Linked DNA regions of Oryctolagus cuniculus. The protein of the gene in region 1 purifies or fractionates together with the protein of each later gene. This does not show direct contact. Links are inferred from orthologs where the notes say so. Each region holds a gene or a part of one and is shown in the gene's direction. Other genes may lie near its edges.

Evidence for each region. The genes of interacting proteins can lie anywhere in the genome.
Region 2: the proteins of DTL (region 1) and COPS5 purify together in Homo sapiens (affinity purification with mass spectrometry; 6 studies listed by BioGRID and IntAct, with this or other methods). This does not show direct contact. The link is inferred for Oryctolagus cuniculus from reciprocal best matches to the Homo sapiens genes DTL and COPS5.
Region 3: the proteins of DTL (region 1) and CUL4A purify together in Homo sapiens (affinity purification with western blotting; 15 studies listed by BioGRID and IntAct, with this or other methods). This does not show direct contact. The link is inferred for Oryctolagus cuniculus from reciprocal best matches to the Homo sapiens genes DTL and CUL4A.

The regions. Positions count from the first base shown.
Region 1 is NC_091444.1:26,551,369-26,555,937, forward strand, and holds the start of DTL (denticleless protein homolog), read left to right. Parts: upstream 1-2,088; 5' UTR 2,089-2,387; coding exon 2,388-2,439; intron 2,440-2,467; exon of another isoform or gene 2,468-2,602; intron 2,603-3,721; exon of another isoform or gene 3,722-3,794; intron 3,795-4,569. Other genes in the region: INTS7 (integrator complex subunit 7), read right to left, coding at 1,838-1,931. UniProt on the Homo sapiens protein: Substrate-specific adapter of a DCX (DDB1-CUL4-X-box) E3 ubiquitin-protein ligase complex required for cell cycle control, DNA damage response and translesion DNA synthesis.
Region 2 is NC_091437.1:92,673,739-92,678,207, reverse strand, and holds part of COPS5 (COP9 signalosome complex subunit 5), read left to right. Parts: intron 1-1,035; exon of another isoform or gene 1,036-1,553; intron 1,554-1,953; coding exon 1,954-2,065; intron 2,066-4,469. UniProt on the Homo sapiens protein: Probable protease subunit of the COP9 signalosome complex (CSN), a complex involved in various cellular and developmental processes.
Region 3 is NC_091440.1:713,349-717,817, reverse strand, and holds part of CUL4A (cullin-4A), read left to right. Parts: intron 1-323; coding exon 324-486; intron 487-886; coding exon 887-976; intron 977-1,747; coding exon 1,748-1,830; intron 1,831-4,469. UniProt on the Homo sapiens protein: Core component of multiple cullin-RING-based E3 ubiquitin-protein ligase complexes which mediate the ubiquitination of target proteins. As a scaffold protein may contribute to catalysis through positioning of the substrate and the ubiquitin-conjugating enzyme.

The DNA.
Region 1 (4,569 bases):
GGAATGAAATTAAGTCAGCTTTAAAATAGCATTCATTTAGTCCCACAGAGATCAAAAACAATTTGTGGGACAGGCACTGTGGCATACTGGATAAAGCTGTCGCCTGCCGTGCTGGCATCCCATATGGCACTGGTTTGAGTCCACTTCTGATCTAGCTCTCTGCTAATGTGCCCAGGAAAGCAGAAGATGGCCCAAGTCCTTAGGCCCCTGCTCCCACATGGGAAGCCCAGAAGCAGCTCTGGGCTCCTGGCTTTGGCCTGGTCCAGCCCCAGTTGTTGCAGCCATTTAGGGAGTGAATTAGTGGATGGAAGACCTCCCTCTGTCCTTCCGTCCATCTGCCTGTTAGCTCTGCATTTCAAATAAATAAATAAATCTTAAAAAAAAAAAAAAAGAGAGAAAGATGTCTTAAAAGGATTAAAAAAAAAAAAAAAAAAAGAGGAGCCAGCGATGTAGACCAGTTGGACCGATGTGCTAGAGAACATCTTCAGTTTAAAAAAGGGAGGGGCCTCAAAAAGTCATCAAGAGAGCTTGGAAGGGGCTTCAGATGGACTTAAAGGGATCCTTCTGGGGCCAGTGCTGTGGTGCAGAGGGTTAAGGCTCTGGCCTGAAGCACTGGCATCCCATATGTGCACCGGTTTGAGACCCGGCTGCTCCTCTTCCCATCCAGCTCTCTGCTATGGCCTGGGAAAGCAGTAAGAAGATGGCCCAAGTCCTCGGGCCCCTGCATCCCCATAGAACACCCGGAAGAGGCTCCTGGCTCCTGGCTTCGGAGTGGTGCAGCTCTGCCCGTTGTGGCCAGTTGGGGAGTGAACCATCGGATGGAAGACTTTTCTCTCTCTTGGCCTCTCCTCTCTCTGTGTAACTCTTTCAATTAAATAAATAAATCTTAGGAAAAAAAAAAAGGATCCTTCTGACTTCCAGTCCAGTTCTATGATAATACACGGGCTACACATAATCCAATATTAAGTGTACATCAGCTGATAAAATACTTCCCCTATGCAACAGAAGTCCTTGAAGTATACTGAATCATAGGGTCCATGTTCATACTCGAGTTCTTCACTAATAAATATTCGCCTTGCCTCCTATATTCACATCTATACAGAAAAGCGTACCTCTTCAGCATTTAATAAATGCTTCTTTTGCATACAATTATATCACTTAATAATTACAAATCTCTCCAGCTCAGTGGCACTGGACCCACTTTGCAGACAGTAAGTCGAGGCTAGGTGCAGTTAGGTGACTCGTCCAAGATCCCAAAATGAGCAGAACTGAAATTCAACTCAGTAGAACCCCAAAGTTCCTTCTACTACGCCAAGCTGCCCCCTGTAAGGAAACCGAACTCATGCAACTTGTGTCCAGGGAATGAGCACAGGCCATGCTTTTCGGGTGATCTTGGTCATTTTTAACCTACCTTGTAACCCGCAGGCCACAGAGCTGCGGAAATCAAAGAGCTACAAAGTCAGTGCCAAAGTCGTGATGAAGACCTGGTCGCAACTGCAAGCACTCAAGAATATTTTCACAATTTCAACCTGGTGTTTTTAGGAACTAGCCACTTTCGCTGTTTGGAAAATCGGGGGACTGTGCCCTCAAGCGGTCAAAACGGGACCCCCACTAGAGCTCGCTGCTGGTTCAGCGGACGCAAAGTCCATCAGGCGACCCTGCAGTTCTCCTGCAGGATCCGGAGATCGCCAAAGCCCTGGCCCCAGAAAAGCTTAGGCGCCGCCCGCCCAGCGAGGCTGCGCGCATGCGCCTTCCCAGCCCCTCCAGAGGCTGCCACCACCTGGCGGCGCCACTTCCCCCACGCCCGGTCCCCCGCTCAGCCCGCTCTTTCGAATACCTTTGTCCAATTCCATAAGAGCAGAGTTAGCATCCAGTTCCTGTTCGCCATAGCCGGCATCTGCCAGGAATGACTTAGTTGAGTTTGACGCCATGACTCGAATAGTTACTCGACTAGCCCAGTCAGACAGATCACAAACTCTGCCCCAGCACCGCCATCTTCTCCTGCCGCCTTCTCGCGGATTTTTCCTCCGCGCTCTGTCAAGCCGTGCCACGCATGCGCCCCGGTCACCCCACGGTTCGCCGGCGCCTCTGCGGCCCCCCGCGCAGGCGCTCAGGGAGCTCCCGAACCCTAGGTTCCCGCGGCTGGGAGAAAAGGAGGCGGGGATTCCAAGGGGGAAGTGACTCTGAGACGGCCGGACGCCGCCCCGGGAGCCAATCAGAGCGTGTGACGTCAGTTTGGCGCGGAGTTTGGCGGCCGGGGCTCCCAGTGGCGGGAGTTGGAGGCAAAAACGAGTCGCGTTGCGAGGGGCGCAAGCTACGGCTTCTGCGGGGCTTGGGGGGGCGTTTTCACGGCTTTTCTCTCACTTGAGTCTCTTCCTTCGGCCCTCATGCTCTTCAATTCGGTGCTCCGCCAGCCCCAGCTTGGCGTTCTGAGGAATGGTGAGTAACGGTCTTCAACCGCTGCTGCTCGCTGGCGGGATTCCTCCCCCCAAACACACGCCGCCTTGGATCGGGGCCGACTCCAGCCCTAGGTCCCCGCTTTCGAGTTCTCCCACGGCGGGACGGGGTTGGTGTTCGCGAGGAGTGCCGAAGAAAGCGGGGCGTGCGTTCCTGCAGGACATTTTTGGTCGCGAACGGGCGTTTTGCATCGTGGTGTAGGCCGAGGGAAGGAGGGACGGAGGCCGGCCCTTATGGCTTACGTCTATATTGCGCGTTAACTGGGAAAGGCATGCCATGTGTTCTCTCAGCAGCTCCGTGAGACCGTCCAGGCTCGGATCCATTAGTTAGCCCGTTAGTTCGTGGTAGAACCCTAGAGAACCCCACTATTTGTGATCGCAGCGGACGTGAGCGCTGCGGAGGACCTCGATCGGGCAGAGAGGACAGGACATCTGCTCTCCGCCGGGTCGAAATGCAGCCTCCCCCCCTTTCCACACAGCCATAAAAATTCCGAACTGTAGCGTCCAAGATGCCCATAACCACGTCCCCCGGGGACGGCCGCGGTTAATAGGTTGAAGTATATTATTCTAGATTTGTTGGATGTCCGGAAAGAAATATTTTCAGAAATGAAATCAAAACGTTTTGTTTTTCTTTTTAGCAGCGTTAAGTTGTCCCTATTCCCGTGTCCGCCTGTAGAAATCCAGCTCATTTTCTGCAGTTCTCTAGGTTATAAGAGTTAAATCACTGGCACAAGGAGATTTGAGCTTAGGTTTGGGTATCATCGACCTGAAATTTTTGATACTTTTCTGAAATAGGGGTTAACTCTCTAGACTAACCCGGGACGGAAATGAAATCTCATTTTTTTTAGAAGTGTGCAATACCCAGAGGTCCCCCTGCCCATGGTAACCATGTGGAAAAGACAAAGATAAAGGAAAGACTGAGAAAGGAACTTTTTATTTAAGGAATGGGTCTCAAAATGGATGTTGATAAGACTGAAGAGTGATTGCCTGCACTTCCTGCTCCAGATCTAAAACTATCCTGCTTTCCCTCTTGCCTCTGAGCTAACCTTTGTGGTTGCACTCTAAATCCTTCTCTCTCTGTCTCTCCTAGGAACTTGCTGAACACCTCTCTGTCCTCTGTGTCTCGGAGGGCTGTGCAGCACGGTGGTTAAGAATGCGATTGTCTTTGGAGTTAACTGCCTGGGTTTTAATTACAACTCCACTCCTTACTTTTCGTGTGACCTGGGGCAAACTATTGAGCCTCTATTTTGTGACAGATTTTCTCCTAATTCTCCAATACATCTGTCTACTTTTTCTCCTTCCTCTCCTATTCACGAGTACTCATTCATTGTTAATGTGGTAAGCACTAAAATTCACTCATTATGTGTTGCCCATTTAAATATTCAGTTACCTTCTCCTTATCCTTAAATGTTAGTGTTCCATCCTTGGCCCCTTTTGCCTATTGCCATAGGTAATCACAGCCATAACTAGGACTTCTTAAACTAGTACGTATAACCTTTAATCTCCTACCTATATTTTAGATTCATTTCTAAAAAAGCTGTATGGGTTGTGCCCCCCCACTTTGTGGCTCCTGTGAGCACCTGAAATGCAAATTCCCAAAACCAAACATAATTTGCCTTCTGAACCTTCTGTGTGACCTACAGGAGTAGCCCCATTGTTTTAAAAGAGGAATTGGAATTTTTATCACAAGTTTAAATAGATGCTAAGAACATGATTTGTGGCTATATTGTGAGTACTGACATCTTAAAAATACTAACTCTTCTAAATTTATCTGGTAGAATGAATACTGATTTAATAATCACATCATCTGTTTAAAAATATGAATAAACTCTTCCTTAACTGCAGAATATTCTATGCAGTTGCTTTTTTCTCTTGAAGTTATTTCTACTGTATTTCTCCTACAGAACTTAACCTAATATAAGTTGTTGTATACTTGAAAAGTCCTTTTACTGATAATCCTGTCTTGTCCTTCTGTGTCCAAAAGTACATTTAAATTGCTGTTTTCTGTTATCATAATGCTTTAATGTTAAATGTTTCTCCTGGGTTTAATTTTCATTACAGTTTTTAGTATGTGATTGATAAAAACAATATATGATCAGTTTTGATGAATAAT
Region 2 (4,469 bases), on another chromosome or scaffold:
CCATCTTCTGCTGCTTTTCCCAGACCAATAGCAGGGAGCTGGATTGGGAGTGGCAGCCATTTGGGGAGTGAACCTGCAGATGGATGATCTCTCTCTATATCTCTACCTCTTCCTCTGTAACTCAAATAAACAAATCTAGTAAAACAAAACAAAGCTTTACTTAATTTTGATTATCTTCAATTTCTTACAACTTTCATTTCTTCACTGCTAAACTTTAATCAACTTTTTTTTTATCATGCCCATATGACTTTATCTTCTGCACTGAACCTTTCTCTTCCCAGCTTACCTGCTGCAGTGGCTTCCTTTGTGGTTATTCCTGCCTCCAAAGTTTTGGTACTGCCACAGCCAGCTTTCTAAAACAGCCCTTTGGCTGTGTTATTGCTCTGCCCAAACACCCTCCTTGAATACAGGTACCTAGAGGGTAAAATTTAAATTGCTTAGTCATTTATCTGATGTCCTCCACCAACTGGACCCCAGCACAGCTTTCTAGGTTTCCCTCACATAATTCTTCTGCTTTTTCTAAATTGTCTAGCCAGACTGACTTATTATCCCATATGTGTCCTACCTTTTCATGTGTTGAGGCATTCTGCTTAATACCCTCCTTGCTGGCAACATATGCACCCCACAGAATCATCTAGTGATTACCCTAAATCTTGCCTTTTCCCTGTGCTTTTCAGGCAGTTCTAGCTTCAAATGACCACTATCTATCCTGTACTCTAAGAGTACTCATTATCTCTTACACTTAATTGATTCATTTCAATTAAATATGCACTGTAGCATCACTTACACCAGTAAGTATTCAGTGTATATAACTATATTTTAACTTATTATGAATTCATATCACATCCCTCATATAAATGGTAAGTCCCTCAAGGTAAAATAGTCTAGTGCTTCTTTGTATCCACTGATATACAAAACCTCTGAGATATTTAAATATTGTTATCTTAAAAAGAATCAGTTTTTCAGACATGTAGCCAAATTGTCCTTGCTCTGCACCCTTATTTATAAATAAGGCACTTTTAGAAGTGCAAACTTCTTTTAGGCACCTTAAAGACATACTTTAGAGTTTACTTTTTTGAAAAAATAAAGAGGACTCTCTGTAAGGGTATCTGGAGGGAAGTTGCAACAAAACAGTAGCTACAGTTGCCACAGTTGTATCTTCTGCTTCACCATGTTTCCTTTGGTCAGAAATGCACTAAGTCCTCTCCAAGTTCAAAGCATTCAGCAAACAATGACAATGAAGAGCCACCAAAGACGTACACTTGATTTTCATAACAAATGTGGTAATGCTGTATTAGCTGGTAGAGCCACATTCTGTAATGTTATATAGAGATATACAGCAACACAGATTGGAATAGAATGGAACCTGTCTCCTGTTGGCAGTCACTCTACAGGAATGGAGAGATCAGTAATTATCCCAGTTGGTGTGATACTGAATAGTCTCAAAACCAACTCATAACTGAAGCCAAATAAAAGCACTGTACCTATTACAATACTGCATTGTTGAAGAAATAAAATATATTTGAAATCTTCAAAAATAAAAAATAGGCAGTAAGTCCTAACTAGAGAATTAGAAAAGGGAATCCACATGTCATTTTCAGTATTTTTTGAACATTAACAAAAATTACAGCTGACCCTAGATAGTTAATTTAATATGTGTTATTAGCTGGAATTCATGAACTCAATAAAATGAATAAACATGTTATTTCAAAGTTCTGATTGGTTGTTAATAACTTATTGGAAGTTTTGGGCTTTACAGAAGGAAAACAATATAACTTAGACAAGACTTGAAAGCACAGCCCCTGAAGAATAAGGAAATCATAGTTACTTGTACTAAAAACTGAAACATGACTATTTAAATATAAAATATAGTTTGCTTAAGTTTGGCCATAACTTTTATATGATACAGCTGAACTTCTTTTCAATTACTAAATTTGTCCTTTTGTTTAATAGATATTATGCCTTAGAAGTCTCATATTTCAAATCCTCTTTGGATCGCAAATTGCTTGAGCTTCTGTGGAATAAATACTGGGTGAATACGCTGAGTTCCTCTAGTTTGCTTACTGTAAGTATTATACTTGCAAGAAATGCATGTAAATTTTACCTGAACTACATTAATTGTTTAATATCTGAAACCCAGTTTCACAAGAAAGGTAGTACCTGACTTGGCCAAAATACCAAGACTCTGTACCACCAAGGCTGAATCCGGATACAAGACCAATTCAAGGTCTGTGTCATATGCCAGAGATACCAAGTCTAATTGGCAAATAGAGTGGCCAGACCAGGATGAGACCTGCCACTGCCTTAAAAAGACCTCTAGGGGAAAAAAAACACAAATTTTCCAGGTGTCTCAGACACGACTAAGGTCACAAGTGGCAGCATATCAAAAGAAATTAGTTTAAACAAGAAAGGGAATCTTATAAGTTACAAGATCTAGAGGTACAGCTTAACTCAGGCACAGCTAAGTTTGCATTTAAGCAATATTGTAAAGTCTTAGTTTTTCTCTCTCAACATTGATTTCATCTCAGTCAGCTACAATTTCAGTCTTTTTTTTTTTTTTTGAAGATTTATTTATTTATTCGAAAGTTAGAATTACACAGAGAGAGAGAGAGAGAGAGGTCTTCCATCCAGTGGTTCACTCCCCAGATGGCCACAATGGCCGGAGCTGCTCTGATCTGAAGCCAGGAGCCAGGGGCTTCTTCCGAGTCTCCCATTTGGGTGAACAGGCCCATGGACTTGGGCCATCTTCTGCTTTCCCAGGCCATAGCAGAGAGCTGGATCAGAAGAGCAGCAGCCGGGACTAGAACCAGCGCCCATATGGGATGCCGGTGCTTCAGGCCAGGGCGTTAACGCACTGCACCACAGCGCCGTCCCCAATTTCAGTCTTAACATAAAAGCATGTTTATAAAATAAACATAAAAAGGCAGCTTTAACTTCAGACCTTAGTTTCAGCTTTGAAAGAAAATCAACACACACAAATACACACACTGAAGCATGTACATATCCCAGCATATTTCTAGGCAAACCTTATGGTATCTCACTGGGTGGCCATTCTTAGACCTGCTGTTGGCCCAAGGGAATGAGTTTATTGAGTGACTGGGTCAGAACAAATGCTTTGCTGCTGGGCTGGGGGGAAGCAGCTCCTTCAGGAGTACAGGGACTAATAAGGGGGGAGCAGAGGTCTCAGAGGATAATCAGATGGTCATTATCTTAAAGCAACAGATTCTGCACAGCCAAAGAAAAAGGATATTCACTGAATATGTTCTGGTAAATGATTAAATGTAAGATATTTATTTAACATTCAATTATTATATTAATTATTAAATGTAAGGATATTTACTTAACAACATTCTCCATATTTAGAACTTAGGAACAGCTTTTTTAAAAGTAGGCCACTCCATATACTGCAGTATACATAGTGATTAGTACCATGGGATTTGAAATAAATCAGATTTGAAAAGAATGCTGCCACTTTACTGGCTCTGAGTGATGTTTGGAAACTTATTTAATGTGAGTGAGCCTTTTCTGTATATAAAATAATAACATCATTAAGTATACTGAGAAAATTAAATGAAATACTTGATATAAAGCAATTAGCAAAGTGCCTGGCATATAATAAGCCTCAATAAATGACTATTATTATTTTTGTTTGGTGCATTGCATTCTTGAAAGAAAACCTCAATTGAGCCTGTTTTTTATAATTTTAAACACAATTCTGACAAGTTTTCTGTTCTTATTTCTTAATCCTCGGTGGTCAGAAGTATCAGATTAGAAGGAAGGAAAGCAAACATAATAGCAAACATTTATTAAGTGCCTCCTGTGTGCCAGACACTGCTAAATGCTTTATATGTGTTGTTTCCGTAGAGGCAAGTATACTAATAGCAACCAGAAGTGAGAGCTGATGCAAGGGGAGAAAACACTGTGTAAGACCAGAGCAGTCTGAACCTTTGTATAAAGGCAAGCAGATCTACCTACTCAGCCACACGGCTGTCCCTGTATTCCAGCACTGCATATATGAGGACATTAATAATCAAGAAAAGGTTAAATTACATTTTCTCCCTTTCTGTGATTTTATATACTCATATAGGACACTGCTGCATTTTAAGAAAACATGTAAATTATGTTCACTTTCTCTTTCTCCAACTAAAGCAGTTAATTATAGCATAAAACCTAAAAGCTACCAGAGAAAAATTTTTTTAAGAAATTAGTTTCCTGTATTAATTTTCTGGGCATTTGAAATGTGATTGGGTATATTTTACTGTCAGTTTACTAGTATAACCATTTCTGCTAGCTTACATTTTTATGGGCTCTGTAGCTAATCTTCTGAATGTGGAAAAGTCTGTAAACCTTAGGCTTTTCTCCAAGTCTGTGGGATAAATGTTGATTTCCTAAACCATTTAGATTCATTTAGGCAAAGTAAATATAATTGCATCATTTTAAAATCACCCTAACTTTGAACAATCATTAGG
Region 3 (4,469 bases), on another chromosome or scaffold:
GATGGCCACAGCCACTGGGGCTGGGCCCCGCTGGAGCCGCTTCCGGGCCTCCCACGTGGCTGGCAGGGGCCCAAGCGCTGAGCCCATCCTCCGCCACTTTCCCAGGCACATCAGCAGGGAGCTGGATCGGAAGTGGAGCATCTGGATCTCGGAACCAGTGCCCATGTGGGATGCTGGGGTTGCAGGCGGCAGCTCTGCCCGCCGGGCCTCAGCACCAGCCCCAGAGGGCTTCTGGCACCGGCTGCAGGGAGCAAGCACACGTGTTTGCGGGGGCCTGTTCCTACGGCAACCAGAAATGAAGTCTTATTTTCCTCTTTGTCCAGGGACATGGGATTAGAACTGTTCCGAAACCACATTATTAGTGACAGGATGGTTCAGAGCAAGACCATCGATGGCATTCTGCTCTTAATCGAACGAGAGCGAAGCGGGGAGGCCGTGGACAGGAGCCTGCTGCGGAGCCTGCTGAGCATGCTGTCCGACTTGCAGGTGAGCGCCGCGGCCGCCAGGCGGGCTCTGGCCCGGGACTGGCTGCCTCCTGGCTGCCCTCCCCGGAGCAGGGGAAGCAGCAGAGGTTCAGGCGCAGACCCTGCTGTCGGGAACATGGGACGTGTTTAGTCCCTGCAAGGGGGATGACTCGGCTAACCAGGAGCCACAGGAGAAAAGGTTGATAAATGTGCCTATATAAAAATGCCAGCTTTTTCATGGGAAGTGTGGAATAAGAAATCAAAGACCTGGGAAAGCTGTTGGTGTCACGTGTGAAAATCAGAGGGTGTATTTGTAGCATGCACAGAGCCCTGCCGGACCCAACCCAGGGCCCGCAGGTCACGGGGTGCTGGGAAAGCCAGCTTTCAAGTTTGCTGACTGAAATGACTCTCTGGTTTCTTAGGTGTATAAGGACTCATTTGAACTGAGATTTTTGGAAGAGACGAATTGTTTATATGCTGCAGAAGGCCAAAGATTGATGCAAGAAAGAGAGGTGAGACGATGAGGCATGAATTGCCATGCTCCCCTTCTGTGGGAATAGACCCGGGCTAACCGCACACATGCGCACGTTCCTGGAGATCGTCTCAAAGCCACGATCTCGCAAAATCCCAGTAGTTAGCTCTCTTCTTCTTAGGGTAAGAATTTAATTTCTTTTCCTTCACTTAGAAGCTGTTTTATTGTCTTCCCCCTTAAAAATCAAAAGCCAGTAAGGTAGGGTCTGAAATTTGTAAAGGAACTCAGGTTTAAGCAAGAAGATAAGGAAACAAATCCTAAATCTGCAAAGTGAAATGTGTCAAAATCTGTCATCTGTGTGAAGCATTGAAAAAAATATATAAAAAAGCGCGTCGTCATAAAAATGCGCCTCGTCCCCGGTTTCCGCCTCATCCCCGGTTTCTGCCTCATCCAGGAGGCGCCTGTGCACTGTGACCTGCCTCACTAGGCCTGGCTGCACGGGGCGGACAGAGCCTCGGGGGCATGTGAGGCATCCCCGGGGGCTCAGCCTGCCGCCCGGCTCTCAGCACCCAGCTGTGCATGGGCCCGTGTGGTGAGCAGGCACACAGCAGGCTTGTGGCCTGGGCCCTGACTCCAGAGCTGGGTCTCCGGGAAGCTGCTCATGTGTTTCTCACAGCCCCCCCCCCCAACTGGGGCTGACTGTATACTCTGCTTTTGTTTTTTAATTTTATAAGGGAAACAAAATTTCCGTTTCTTGGGTAACACTAAGAACCTTTTTGTTACTGATGTGCTTAAATGTTTTCTTTGGAAGGTTCCAGAATATCTTAACCATGTAAGTAAACGTCTGGAAGAGGAAGGAGATCGCGTGATCACGTACTTAGACCACAGCACCCAGTGAGTACTGCAGCTCCTCTGCCGCCTCGCTGAGATAAGAACCCCTTTGTCCCTTCCTCTGTGCCGTCCCGGGGCGCCTTTGTACTCGCTGGTAGCGTTTGTCATGACTCAGCACGTGGCCGAGGGGCTCCGCACCTGCAGGACTGTGTGTGTGTGTGGGGGTGTGTGTGTGTGCGCGCGCGGAGTCACACTGGCCAGTAGGCGTTTTTTTTAAAGAGCTTAGGGTTTTCCTGGGGGGTGGGATAGTGAGATTGAGAGGCAGACAGGGAGAGATCAAGGCAGAACGGCAGTTCCCGTCCTCGGGTCCACTCCCCAGCGCCCACTTGGCTGGTGCCCTGAAGCCAAGAGCCAGGACTCAATCCAGGCAAAGAAAGGGAGAGACATTTTGTGAGTGTGTCTCACGCGAGGAGAGGTGAGACACACACGCAGGAGACAGAAGAGGGAATCTGAGGAACCAGAAATGGTACAAGTGGGTCGGGGCAGGCAGGAGGAAGGGAAGGAGCGGGAGGGAAGACGGCCTTGGCGTTCGCGTGTGCTGAGCAGAGTGGGGCTGAACCAGGACAGGGCCCCCACGCCTGTGTCCTGCTCCCCTCTGTTGCATTTAGCTTCAAGAGGAAGCAGCCAGGAGAGAGAAAGCAGAGGGGACAGCAGATCCAGGCTCATGGCAGCAGAGGGAGCCACACACTGGGCTCCGCTGGAGCCATGGCCCTGGGCAGGTCACATGCCTCTGGTGTGCAGGGTGGAGGGCTGCCGTGAGAGCCAAGTGGGGAGGCGCGCTGACGCCTCCCTCAGCGCTCGGGAGTGGGTCCCGTGCTGTGGCCTGTGGCGCCAGCATCACACATTGGTGCTGGCTCCAGTCCTGACTGCTCCACTGCTTCTTCTTCTTCCTTTTTTTTTTTTAAGATTTATTTATTTATTTATATGAAAATTAGAATTACAGAGAGAGGAGAGGCAGAGGGGGGGATCTTCTATCCGCTAGTTCACTTCCCAGTTGGCTGCAGCGGCTGGCCAGGAGTCAGGAGCTTCCTCTGGGTCTCCCACACGGGCACAGGGGCCCAAGTACTTGGGCCATCTTTTTTATTTATTTATTTATTTTTTATTTGACAGGTAGAGTTATAGACAGACAGAGAGAAAGGTCTTCCTGCCGGTGGTTCACCCCCCGAATGGCCACCACGGCCAGAGCTACACCGATCCAAAGGCAGGAGTCAGGTGCTTCTTCCTGGTCTCCCATGCGGGTGCAGGGCCCAAGCACTTGGGCCATCCTCCACTGCCTCTCAGGCCACAGCAGAAAGCTGGCCTGGAAGAGGAGCAACTGGGACTAGAACCGGCGCCCATATGGGATGCTGGCGCTGCAGGCGGAGGATTAGCCAAGTGAGCCACGGTGCTGGCCCCTTGGGTCATCTTCTATTGCCTTCCCAGGCCATAGCAGAGAGCTGGATCCGAAGTGGAGCAGCCAGGACTCAAACCGGTGCCCATATGGGATGCCGGCACTGCAGGCAGCAACCCTACCTGCTATGCCACAGCGCCAGCCCCCCCCCTTCTTAAGATTTATTTATTTATTTGAAAGGCAGTTGGAGAGAAGCAGAGAAAGAGAGAGAGGTCTTCCATCCTCTGGTTCACTCCCCAAATGGCTGCAACAGCCAGTGCTGGGCTGATCCGAATCAGGAGCCAGGAGCTTCTTCCCAGTCTCTCATGCAGGTGCGGGGGCCCAAGGACCTGGGCCATCTTCCACTGCTTTCCCAGGCCACAGCAGGGAGCTGGATTGGAAGTGAGCAGCTAGAACTCAAACTGGCACTCATATGGGATGCCGGCACCACAGGTGACAGCATTACCCACCATGCCACAGGGCTGGTCCCTGGCTGCTCCACTTCAGATCCAGCTCCCTGCTAATGGCCTGGAAAAGCAGTAGAAGATGGCCAAAATGCTTGGGCCCCTGCACCTATGTGGGAGATCCGGAAGAAGCTCTTGGTTTTGGCCTGGCCACAGCCCTGGTAATTGCAACCATTTAGGGAGTGAACCAGTGGATGGAAATATCTCCCTCTGTCACTTCCCTCTGTGGCTCTGTCTTTCAAATAAATGAATCAAAAAAAATCTCTGAAATTAACCTTGGGAAGACGGCGAAAATCAGTGCTGCTTGGTAAAGCAGGTGCCCTGTTCTGAAAACAGCAAAGGGCAGCACTGGGCTGTGGGCGGGGAGAGAAGCCCAGGAAGGGCAGCGTCGGGGCCTGTAACCCGGCCCACAGTTGCTGCGTTAGCAGACTGTCCATGACGGGAACTTCCGTGGTCCCCAGGCCCTGCCAGGTGACGCCTGGAGGGAGCAGGAGCGTGGGCAGGGGCGTCCCACGAGGGTGGAAATCTCATGTCGGGCTGGGTCTCAGGCTCCACCAAAGCTGCTTGGAACCTGAGGAGTGTGAGTCGTGCGCCTGTGTCCAGGAGGTGAGGGGCGGCGGCACTGGAAGCCTTGGGAAGGCCGAGAGTCTGGGCAGCATGGGAGTGTGGGGGAAAGGGGGGTAGGGAAAAGGCATCCGTCACCGAAGCCGCTGACACCGTAGCCCTCGAGCCGGGCGGTGTTGTGGTGGTTGTAGTCATCTCTGACGGTCAGCGAGGGGTCAGCACCTGGACGAGGCCGAGCCACTCAG